Drosophila melanogaster: one gene and its partner. The gene in region 2 interacts genetically with the main gene of each other region. Each region holds a gene or a part of one and is shown on either strand. Other genes may lie near its edges.

Region 1 (4,790 bases), on a different chromosome or scaffold from region 2:
ATCGTTGTCTCTAGAATTTGTATGCTGAATCTCATACGAACAGACGGGCATGGCTAGATCGACTCGGCAATTGATCCTGATCAAGAATATATATACTTTGTATGTTCGGAAACGCTTCCTTCTGCCTGTTACATACTTTTTAACGAATCTAGTATACCCTTATTATACCCGTTATTGCTTGTTGTTGTGCTCCCATTTTGTGTGAAACATCTAATAGAAAGTAAAGTAACAACGGTGGCCCTGTGACAACTGTTTTGATATATGAGAACAGTACAATTACGAACTAGGAAAAACACACTGCGAAAAGAGGAAGTAGTGAAACAGGCGACAAACCCAGTAAGAAATACACCCAATCTTAAAATAAGTACAGAATTATAATTTGTCTCATTAATATTTGCGTTGCCCAGTGTTTATCGTTCCATAGCCATCTTCCGTTGTTTCTTTCAATAAAATAATCGATAGCTGCCCTGTTTTGTACATTTTGTATTTTAACCTCAATTTACGATATATACGAGCAATTCAATCAAAAAAGAGTAATTGAACAATCCCTTGGTAATGCGCATTAAAAATCATTTTTTATTAGCAGTTACCAATCGAGAAGCCAAAATGACTGAGAGCATTGTGTGTCACAAGTGCCAGGAGGCCATCACCAAGCGTATGATCACCGCCCTGGGCAAGACGTGGCACCCGGAGCACTTCCTGTGCCACCACTGCGATGAGCAGATCCTGGATGCCACCTTCAATGTTCAGAGCGGAGAACCAGTGTGCAACAAGTGCTTCGTGGAGCGGTACACCTACACCTGTGCCGGCTGCAAGAAGCCGATCCTTGAAAAAACCATCTGCGCCATGGGGGAGAGGTGGCACGAAGCTTGCTTTTGCTGCGGCGGTGCCTGCAAGAAGCCGCTCGCCAGTCAAACGTTCTATGAGCGCGACGGCAAGCCCTATTGCAAACAGGATTACGAGAACCTCTTTGCTGCCAGGTGCGCCAAGTGCGAGAAGCCTATAACGGACTCAGCGGTGCTCGCCATGAACGTGAAGTGGCATCGCAATTGCTTCCAGTGCAACAAATGCGAGAATCCTATAACCTCGCAGACTTTTACCATCGACGGGGACAAGCCCGTGTGCCCCGCCTGCAATTGCTAACATCGTCCCGGACCCATGATCTTACTCCAAATTGTTTAGTTCCTTTCTTACACTAATGTTGAAATAGTTCCCGATGCTTATGAAGCCTAGAGGCATGAAAGAAATCAGACCCACACATTTGACCACACTTAACATTTCGCACACGCACACACTAAATAAAAATAAATATGTAAAGTCTCTGTATTGGGGTGGCCAGGTAAACCCTTTTATCGTTAAGATTTGCCTAAGACCAACAACACCCACAACAACATACTGATTACTGCGAGATAAACTAGAACGCAAGCCCTTTCCCAATTTTGAGTAAATATTTTCCCCAAACCCAGTGAAAAGAAGCTGTCGAGGAAAGTGTGCTTGATATGAGATCATGTTTCCAAGGGTAAATATGCTACCCAGCCTTGGAACATGCACATCTGATTATCTCATAAACGCCATTAGTCGGTGGAATTATGTTGTTTGGAGGAGGGGTATCCCAGCAGTGCAGCGGAAAATGGAAAACTCTGCGAGGGTGTGCTGACGTGCCGTCATCGTGGAAAATTCATACATTCGGGTAAAATACACGAAGCGGCTTCGTTAGTCAAGTTTTCGTTACGATTTTGTGGGCTCTGCGGCTTTGGAGTTGCCGGCTGCCGGTTTCAGTTTCATTTTTCAAACGGAGCTCGTGCAAAGCGGTTCGGTTGGTCTTTAAGCGATTTTCCACAAACCAAAAAGTATTTCCGCGGAAAAGCTGCCCGAAAACGGGAAAAGAGAGGTGGCTAATTAATTACACTGTTGAAACTGTCCCATAAATAATTGCCGTTTGAGTCGAACAATTAAGGAGTCTGTAAAAAGCTGCAGCAGCTGCAAGCCTCCATAAATCGTGTCTATCAAAATCAAGATCGTGGTTTACGTATGTTGCGAACTTTGAAATTTATTTGCGATCTATGGCCAGATTTTCCAGATTCGGATTTTCCAAATGCAGCCAATATCCTCACGTCTAGTGGCACTGACAACTCAATACAGTATATCGTGTAGATTGGCATCAGATAATTGTGATTTAGCCGTGCGTGTTGAAGTGGAATTAGTTTACTCAATTTGCAACTTCAAGTAATTGCAGTTTATTGAGGAAAATATTTTAATATATTAAAGCTGAAGTGGCGGGATAACAGATTAGCTATAAATATATATATATATACATATATGTATGTATGCAAAGACACATCTTTGATAGTAAAACACTAAGTGTGGGTGGTCTGAGCGTTTATTCTAATTGATAATTATTTTAATTAATACAAAAGATATCTAATCTTGTACTTCTACATTTTAAATGCCTGTTAAGGTCTTTCGTGCTTGCGTTTGCTCAGGTGGAGGCAGAGCTTATAAAAATGTTAATCTTACAAATTATAAAATGTGGGATTAATTGGAAAATGTTTTATTTTGATTACCTAGGTGACAGAAAATTAATTGTTAGCATATGCAAATGTCAGTCGCGATGTGAATTTGCATTTTACGAATGTGTCTACAAGCGATCAGGTCTAAAAACTCAATCAATGGGATCAATTAGGGTTTGTAATACTTGCTATTGCTGACTGTGTTGGATCAAAAAGAACATCACGCACACCTTTAAAGCGGCTGTCATTCCAGAACCTTTTTTCGTGGAAATGGAATCCAAGCCAGGCTCTAAGCTTCCAGGCCAAATTTATTGACGCTACTCTGGCATTCTTTTTCAATTCGTAGATGTCTGTGAACGAAAAAATAACTTACAAGCCGATGGCACTGGAAAAGGTCCAAGCCTAAGTCAATAATATCATCGAATTATTCTATTTGGTTTTTATTCACAGCTCATTATACCAATACTCATATATAAAATACCATTTAAAGTTAGGGGAAAGATTGAAAAAGTAGCAATAATTCGATGAAACCAAATGAAGCAACATTTTTTTTTATTGTGTAAGCCATAATATTTTTAAACACGACACATTAAAAAATTTTTTTTTACATTTCTGTATTCATTAAATCTTTGCAATGCAAAATGTTCTTCATTATGATAAAGCAATGCAAAAGGCAAACATTTGATTAAAATTAAGCTCCCAGTACGCATTCTTAGAATCTTTTTTTGTCGCAGTGCAGTTAAAAAACAGTCGGGGCAGTCACTGGCACTGAAGAACCTCCACAGTCGTACTTTGACTCTTGCGGTCGTCGGATGTTTGTAAGTTTGCCGGCTTCGCATAAGTTTTATATGGAAATTGCCATTTTTGGCGTTTCGAGCAACAGGACGGCTATAGACGCACCTTAAAAGTCCACCCGGATCGGCTGGGTCGCGCTTAACCTTTAATGGGGAAACGCCATGGCCCGAGCCTTTGAGAGCCCCTCCAGTTGGCAACCGGTTGGCTTCCAGTGAATGTCTCTGAGTTTCTGTGTGTGTCTGCTGCAAAAGCCTCTTTGTGTCAAGTCGTATGTTATTAGCATCCGCCAACTGAGCTCCCAGTGTGTCAAAAGATTTGAACTTTAAAGTGCTCAGGTGCTGAAGAGGCCCACAGACGAAAAGTAGACAGCAGACACTTGGACTGCCAGTCAGTCAGTCAGTCAGTCAGTTAGTCGGTCTCTCGGTCTTTGAATACACTGCGAATAAAACTGTGATAATCGCACATTTGGCCATGCTATCGGAAACTATCTTTAGAAAATGTGCTTTATTTCAAGCAAATGTGATTGCAATGATTAAGAAAAACGGATAGAAGAGTGTTGTACTAAGTACCAAAATACCGAAATTACTTAAAGCAAATCCCATTTACCAATAAATTGAAATGATCCAAATTCAATGAGTTTCAGCTTCAGTTTACACAGTTTTTCCCATTCGACTTTTCGGCCAGTGTTTGTGAATTGCTTATCACGTTGTTTGACTTTGAGCTCGTTTGAATTATGCGTGCTATCTTCCATTGCCATTCCCCTGGCCAGCGGGTAGTTCACGCCGCAATTGTCTCTTTCGGGTTCTTTTTATCACACCTGCCGTGCACCGCTGGATACCACACATATGCCGTCCATCCATCCGCACTGGAGCGATGTGGAGTGGAGTACCTAGAGTACTCTGTGGGGTATGGAGTAGGTAGAGTACTCGCACGTCCACAAACTTTTTTTGCCTTTTCCTTGACACGTCCTCGTTGAGCGTTGCTTGGTACTTGCATAGAATTAGTTATCGTAACTAGTTCTATTGTTTTTCGTATTCAAAATTCATCAGGGTTTTCGGCAGTTGGTTAGGAAGTTTAGAAATCTTAATAAATTAGCATTACCACTGTATACAAAACTCTGGTAATTTTAAGCCCGAAACTGTCTCAAAAACCATTCAACTTTTTGACTTAAGGCAGCCAGAGCAAATTGTGAAGTAAACCCACATTGTTTGCCCAAATAATTTAATTAAATTATTCCACTTAAAAACCGATTGAGCAAACTGAAAGCCATTCGACATGGAGTGAATCGGCAAAAAGAACAATTAATAATGATAAGAGCAACAAATAGCACGCACCCGAGGCGCTCGACTTTTAAAATTTAGAATTAGAAAAATATAAAACAAAAAACAGAAAGCAACGCCAATAAGCCTCTCACCTGGCGCTGGCCAAAAATAGCAACCGAAGACCATTTAATAACAATATCAATATGCGAAACAAATTCAAAGC
Region 2 (7,904 bases):
GTGAATTGTAATAGAGTTGCTGAAATTTGGCATTGTATTTATGGCCCGGGCATTGGGGCATACCAGGCATCTTACCCACACCCACATTTCATTAGATATCCACCCTGGGAGCGGTGATAAATGCGATAATAAATATTCAAGTTGTTTTTCTGTGAGTGTTATAATTTAGTGTTGATTAGTTTGCGCAAATAAGAGTTATTGATTCAATTTCAATTAAAAGGATATGTATGTTTCTCGCAAGCGCCATAGCCCCGCACTTCGACACACTCGATGTGAAATACTCACTCTAGTCCACTTTGGGGTCGCCCACGAACAAAAGACTCCAGCAACGAACTTGTTTTGCCCTGCGTGAGTTTGTGTGTGATTGTGTTGGGCTTTTTTTTTGGCACCTTTTGCATTGATATGCCCGAGTTATTAATGATGCCTAATGAGTGGGTTGGTCCCCAATGCAACTGCTACCTGGGAGCGAGCGGGGCAATTATGTGTCATTTGTATGCACAGCCCAAGCCCAGGGACATGCAATTTGGGTGTAGTCTCTGACTAAAGCGTTTATTAACTTATTTTCGTAGGGTAACTCGTACATTTAAGTGCGTTGATAGTCGAGGACCATTACAAGGGCACCGAGAGCTGCCAACGCAGGCGGCTTTGCCTTCCAGGTGTCTGATAGCCGGAACTGCAGGAGCACCTCGATTGGGTCGATGGGGAAGCTGTAATAACGATATCTCATAATATTATGGGTCACCATACAAGGAGCGAGGCGTTTAACTCACATAGGACAAACACGATTACAACTATAGCAACACAAGGGACGAAACACTGGAATCTGCGCCTAGGAGGCCTGGTCAGAATGATTGTGGGACAGTTGACGCATGGTAAAGGTGGTTTCTGCTAGACAAATAACAATGAAAAACGATGGATTTCGCCACTCCAACTTTTACCTGGTGTGCGGAATCCCTCCTGGATCTTGTAGATCTCGTTCAATTCCCGAGCACTGCACAACGGAGTGTCCACCTGAGTGGTTTCGTTAAAGCGAGCGTAGTCGATTTCATAGGCCTGCAGATCCTTGTTGTACAACACCACTGGATCGAAACGATGTCCCCAAAGGATCTCAGTGTTAATATAGCTGGATCTGGCTTGAGTGCTCTGTCCAGTGGACTCCACGGTGCCCTCTAGGATCACCACGATTTCGAACTTATCCTGCAGCATATCAGTGGCATTAAGATTATAGAGCGGTGAGTTCTCGTCGATCTTGTGCTCGATGACCATGGGCCAGATGAAGAACAAATCAGAGCCGGAGTCATCAGTACCGATCTCCAGTTCTGTGAAGTACTGTGTCATCACCTCACCCTCCTTGGTGCTCTTTGTCCTGATCAACTGAGCCCTCACTCCGGCTCCAATGATGTGTGATTTTCGCATGTCACCCACACGGAACATCAGCGAAAGGGTGCCATCACGTTGGCAAATTACGGCGTGTTTGGAGAACAACAAAGTCTGTGCCCGCTGTTTGGCCCTTGTCATCTTGGCAAACACTATTCCGGCCATAAATGCTGAAGACATCACGCCATAGATGGACTGGAAGCACATCATGAAGATGGCCTCTGGACACTCGGGCGAGGTGGTTCGGACACCGTAGCCAATAGTGTGCTGCGTTTCAATGGAGAACAGGAAGCAGGAAGTAAAGCCATCGATGGCCGAAACACAAGGCGCCCAACCAGATTCCTCTAAAAGATGAAATTGTCATATAACCATTGAGTTCTCTTTATATTTAACAAACCTTGGTTTTCTGGCAAGTGAGGCTCTTCCAAGTCTCCGTGTGTGTAGATAATCAGCCACCAGATGAGAGCAAAGAAGAGCCAAGACAGGATAAAGCTGAGTGCGAAGGCCAAGAGAGTCCACCGCCACTGCCAATCCACCATGGTGGTGTACATGTCCTGCAGGAAACGAACTCGGCGTCTTTGCAGGTGCTTCTGCACCACATTGCAGTCACCATTTTTGAAGACCGCTCGTCGGCGAACACGTCTCATGCTGCCAGGCCGGAAATTGCGAGATCTGTGAATAGAAAATCAAAGTATTTATACATAAAGCCTAAAAGTGTGCAGTGTATTATCAATCTTTTTGGTTTCGTTTCTATTTTACGTATCGCTTCAACCAAAGACACTAGAATAACAAGATGCGTAGCGGCCATACATTGGTTTGGCACTATGCAGCCAATTTTTTAGTGACGGCCAAAATTGCTCTCTTTCCGCTCGCTCCCGCTGAGAGCATAAGAAATCTAAAAATAGAATTTGCTTGCTTGTGTGAGTAAAAACAAGAGACGAGAACGCATATATGTGTGCGTGTTGTGCTAGAAGACGATTTTCGGACCGAAATCAATTCTGATCGAAAAAACGAATTTACATTGTACATATTAGGGTAGTTTTTGCCAATTTCGTAGCAATATGATAAAATAAAATAATTTTTAACTGACTATTACCATTTTAAAGCTTTTTAAATTTGTTTGTTAAAATCGCCGCTCGAATTAGCTACCGTTTACACATTTATATTTATGTTTAATTCTAATTTGTCTCTCATCTGACAATTTTTTAAGAAAGCGAAATATTTTTTTTTTTAAACACTTTTAATGTTAATGTTACATCATATTAAGTCAAATGACATAATAAATATAGTAAATAATTAAATATGATAACTGTTTATTGCAAAAGTCATATCAAAGACACTAGAATTATTCTAGTGTCTTTGCTTTGTTCATATCTTGAAGCACGAAGTACGGACACAAGCACTCAACAATCATTGCCTTATTAATTTTTCACACGCCGCAAGATGAATACTCTAATGACAAATATTCTTATATAAAGTCATTTTTGAAATTTATTTTTGTGATAATATGTACATAGATTTGGCTATTTCTAATCTATTTTCATATAATAATAACGTTAAGGCAATGCAAAACAAGAATTTTTCGCATGGTGCCAATTGATCAAAAATAATATAGATTTAAAGTCAAAGAACTTCTAAGGTGAAGGGCATATTTTGTGAAATTTACAATGCATGAGCGAGCATACGTGTGCACACATACAGTTGTCTGCTATCACTTTATGCGATGAAAAGAGCTGTTCGCTGTAGCACTCTCCGCTCTCTCGCTCTCTAACAAAAATTCGAGAGAGCCTGGAGCCACCTCTAGAGCCACGGCGAAAAAATCGTGTGCCAAAAAATCGTATGGCGTTACGCATCTTGTTATTCTAGTGTCTTTGCTTCAACCTTATGGGTGACATAACAAATTGGAAAATATTTATTCATTTTTTAATATTATAGGATAAAGAAATTATAAGATGTGTCCGAATTTCCTTAACCCTCTTTGTCTGGAGATTCTCATTCATCGTTCCTATTACAAATGGCAATGAATATGATTTCTATGATTTATGCACGTGTCAGATAAAATTGGATGTCTCGACATCGTGTTTTTTAATTTGCGTAAATTAAGTGTGCGCTTTTGCACTCGTCTGTTTTTGGACTGGACACACGAGAAGTGCATCTAATTAACACAGCCGCGAATGCCAATGTCGCAAGGCGGACAAATCGGACAGATTCAGATCGCAATTACGATTCACGGCAATCTGACCCATCCACTCTTATAACACTTAATTACAGCTCTCCCACAAATTGTTTGATTTATTACCCCTCTGCTTGTCACAGCAATGCATTTCAAGAGGGCTTGATGCACCGGTCGATGGTTACACCCACGTGAATCGGCATTTATCGGATGCCAATTACCTTAACCCCACATTGACACTCGCACTACTCGATTAATTGGCATTGTGCCGATTGCATTAATGCCGGCTAATCAAATTTAGAGCTCAGCGGGCTAAATTTGTGCCATATGAATCATTGGCCCGCTTTGTAGAATGTCGGCATTAATTAATTACATTTTTGAGCGGACCACGCAATAAACACATAAGAAAAAATAATAAAATCGAAATAGTAAATAAAAAGTGTCTGGGAAAAGGGAAGCTATATCCGATGGGAAATCATTTGGACAACCGTTTAGCAGGTGACAAGTGTGAGAACAAGATGCCGTCAAGATTTGGAAAAGACAGAATGGCTGGCCTAATGAATCGCATTCGTAAAGCGTCTCTAAATCATTTGCACTGCAATCTGCAGCCCGGAAAGCAAACTAGAACCGTGGGCGTAGCCATATAAATTACAACCGCAAACTGCGAGCGGCACTCTGATAATCAGCTAAACAAAAAGCCAAAAAGATGCGACAACGTGACACGGACGCACGGCGATGATGGAAGTCAACTTGTCGGCAAGTTCAAGTTGAATGTCAGGCCCCTTGACGAGCTAATTACTTGGCGGAAAGCCGGCGGAACTTTGCGTAATTGGGTAATTGTTGCCCGTAGCTCCTATTTTTACTTTCGCAAGTAAAGTTCTTAGAATATTTATAAAGAGCTCTAATTAGCGTAGTAGTGTAACAGGAACTTCAGCTAGAAGTAAACATTAAATTATCAAAATCCACTATTAAATGAGAAAGAACGAAAGTTCGAAGTTAAATCATTATAGTGACGGAAATATTTCAAACCATTCTTTTGAATCTAATGATTGAAATCAGAAACAATTCGGATAATGCGCACCCTTTGGCCAGCGAGTGGCTGGAACCCTTCAAGGCCTCGTAGTAGACTCCCGCCTGCGATGGCGTGTGCGAGATGCCCCGCATGTACTGGCGCTTCCACTCCTTCATGTGGGCAAAGGTCTCCTCCTTGTCGCCGCCGACAAGGGTTTCCGCGTCGGTGGGATCCTGCAGGACCTGAACATCGCTGAGCGGGACCTGCATTTCTCTAGACGTTTTAACTTCGCGGTTCTGAACGAAACTGAAGCTCCTCGCCAGTCGATTCAGTCCAGGCCAACGTTAAAGTGGTCTGAATTTGGCCAAGCAATTAGAGCTGCTCTAACTAATCGGCACTTATTGACCAAATCACTTAGCCCGGGAAAATAGCTTAGAAAATATCCATCACAACTCACCTGCAGCTCGGTTGGCGGGGGAACGGCTTGCCATTTTGGGATAGGCCATAGTAGCTGGTCGGCCTATTCGGCACAATTGTGATGGGATAGGATTGAGGATTGCTGATCACACTGTCCAGCGAATCGGGATCCGCTTCGATGGCCTTCTTGAGCGGTTGGGTGGCCTGTTCGCCTCCATTTGCCTGTGTTGTTGTTGGTATGGTCGTAGAGGTGGGGGCCGCCGAGTGGGTGGAGAAATTGAAACGCATCTGTGGGAGGTTGAGGTGAAGGAGTTGCCTTTTCAATTAATTCCCTTGGCGTCGAGTGGGCAAACAGAAACTTGTGATAAGTGCAACCCAGGTGCGAGAATCTATTTTTTTTTGCCAACGTCGTCAGCTGATTCACACAGATTTTTGTGGTCCGCTGGCAAAGTATACAACCATATACTTTATCAGTTTATATTATTTATGGAATAACAAGCAAACATTAACCACATTATTCAACCATAAAAATAGCAGATATTCGCCACATTGTTAAACGATTTTTATAGGCAGCTGCATAAAATCCGAGCTTGAGTTACTGAAATTTAAAGCGCTTCCGCAGCTAGCTTAGATTTTCGCACCTTTCTGTACTTTTCACAAGATCCGAGGCAAGCAATTGTAAGTCGAATAATTATTGAACATCAGCACGCTTAAGCTTAAGTAGTTTTATCACCTTTTAGATATTAAATTGATTGACACCCTTAAATCGAGATTTTGTTAGATCTCCATTGTTTTGCAAAAGAGCCTCAACAAACTTTTGGCACTTTATGATGGCATGTTGCGAACTGATAATAGGCACAATGTTTTAGTTTCACAAGCTCCGTTTCGTTATGTTTTGCCGACGCGTGTCGTTCCAGAAATGAGATGATCTGAGGACTGGAGATCAGAGGGCACTCAGAGCCACAGAGCAACTGTCACAGCGAATCTACGGATCCGCAAGTCCGACCAATGGATTAAATGACGGCCGACTGAAAGAACATTTTTCCAACTAAACAAAACTTGTGAACAGAAAGCGGTGAGCTGTAAGTGACACACACATACATGTTCAGGAAGAGAGAAAATTACACAGTGCACATCGACGATGCTCTCACAGATACTGTTACCGAAAGATACAACTTGCGGCTGTGCCGCGGAAAAAGTTCAATTGAAATGATTCGTAAATTGAAAGCGAAGCGGAAGATAAGTGCGATAAGCTCATCTTATCAACGAAATCAGAAGGCAGAGACACTTCTCAATGCAAGCGACCTTGAGTCGAAGTCGGGGAAGGGGTGGCGCCTGCTTGATATTCTGTGGGCCCCCGTGTGGTGTCGCAATATCGATAGGTTAGCCCAGAGAGTTCTGATTTATCAGATACGACTGTCACTGAATCTCCCTGTTTAAATAGACAGCGCAAACAATGGCTTTCGTTTGTATTTTGGCTCGGATTCGAGTACAAGGTGTCGTATACGTAATATCTCAGTGTTTACCATCGACTCACGCGCATTTTGGCTGCATTGTGCAAACATAAATAATAAATAAATTGTGACGTTAATAACAAATATATATGTCCATACAAGCATCGCTGTGCAGTCAACGGTATGGTCATGCGTAGTTAATTTTGACGGCATTAAGCCAATTAAAAGCGTTCACTGCCACCATAAATCTTGGGCTATTGTAATGGCCTCACTTGAACCTATTTAAATTTATTGAAATTCTAAAAAATCCGATAATACTGGAAATTTTGAACAACGCTATAGGGCCAAGAACTGGAACTTGTCGAGCTCAGCGATGGGAACACGATAGCTGGGGTCGCTCACAAGCAGTCCGTCGATCAACTGGGTAGCCTCTGGACTCATGACACTTTCCATATCCTTGGGATACGTGGGTCCACCGCTCATGATCGCTGCATAGATCTCCTTTGAATTTTTACAGGCACTAGCAAAGGGCATTTTACCGCAGAGCATATAAAACAGAGTAACACCCAGCGACCAGGAGTCCACCTGATAATCGTATCCCGACATTGCGATCATCTCGGGTGCCATGTAGCATGGAGTGCCGCAACGGACGTACAACTTGCTGCCACGATAGTAAGTGGCCAAGTCAAAGTTCGCCACTTTGACCATTTTAAAGTTCCACTTGCCGGATGAAGAGCAAACCAGCAGATTCTCCGGCTTGATGTCCCGATGAATCACCTGAAGTTGGTGCATATGCGCCAGTGCCGATACCGTGCATCTCATCACCGATCTGGCATCTGCCTCCGACAAGATACCGCGCTTCTGAATTACTTTCTGCATGTTACAGTCCAGGTGCTCTAAAACCGTGTACATATAGCGCTCATCCTCAACCGTGTACATCAGCTCGATGATGTTTGGATGCGACTGAAGCTGTCGCAGCACCTCTGCCTCCATATAGGTATCTCCGCGGTCGTTGCTTTGAGTCTGCTTGTTCACCATCTTTACGGTGCACTTCGTCCTGTTGGCCCTGGTTTGCCCGCGATATATCAGCGTCCTTGTGTTGTGCTCAACGGGCTCTATAGTCTCTATGTAAAGCTGTATGGCCTCGGGCAGGTCGTGGGACTTCATGGACTCCAGGGTTCCACTGTCTAAATGATGTTGGCCCCAACGTTTACAAGAGTCCACCATTCGCTGGAAGTCCTTGTTGATGCTGTACTTGACACAAATTATTTCTTCGTTCTTACAGCAGCAAATCACAATGTCGGTTTCGCGGAAACAACTCAGCGATGTTAAATGCGATCCGTCAGTCCGGCGGAAGTGCGCGATTGCTGATCTCAAAAGCACATGGCGTTTTAAAGACTCGGTGACTCCTTGCAGAAGAGCCGGAAAGTCCTTGAAGTGGGCTCGAGAGATGACCAAATTAACGCCCTTG

The links. A genetic interaction does not mean that the proteins touch.
Region 1: of Irk2 (region 2) and Ret, changing one suppresses a phenotype caused by changing the other (phenotypic suppression), as found in Drosophila melanogaster (one study listed by BioGRID).

Annotation. Positions count from the first base shown.
Region 1 is NT_033779.5:21,195,754-21,200,543, reverse strand, and holds the start of Ret (Ret oncogene), read left to right. Parts: upstream 1-1,781; 5' UTR 1,782-1,891; intron 1,892-4,790. Other genes in the region: CG31624 (uncharacterized protein), read left to right, coding at 607-1,143.
Region 2 is NT_033777.3:23,513,439-23,521,342, forward strand, and holds Irk2 (inwardly rectifying potassium channel 2), read right to left. Parts: upstream 6,008-7,904; 5' UTR 5,713-6,007; intron 5,268-5,712; coding exon 5,020-5,267; intron 4,881-5,019; exon of another isoform or gene 4,832-4,880; coding exon of another isoform or gene 4,632-4,831; intron 2,050-4,631; coding exon 1,775-2,049; intron 1,722-1,774; coding exon 939-1,721; intron 889-938; coding exon 830-888; 3' UTR 771-829; intron 708-770; coding exon of another isoform or gene 610-707; 3' UTR 179-609; downstream 1-178. Other genes in the region: CG10177 (uncharacterized protein), read right to left, coding at 6,770-7,904.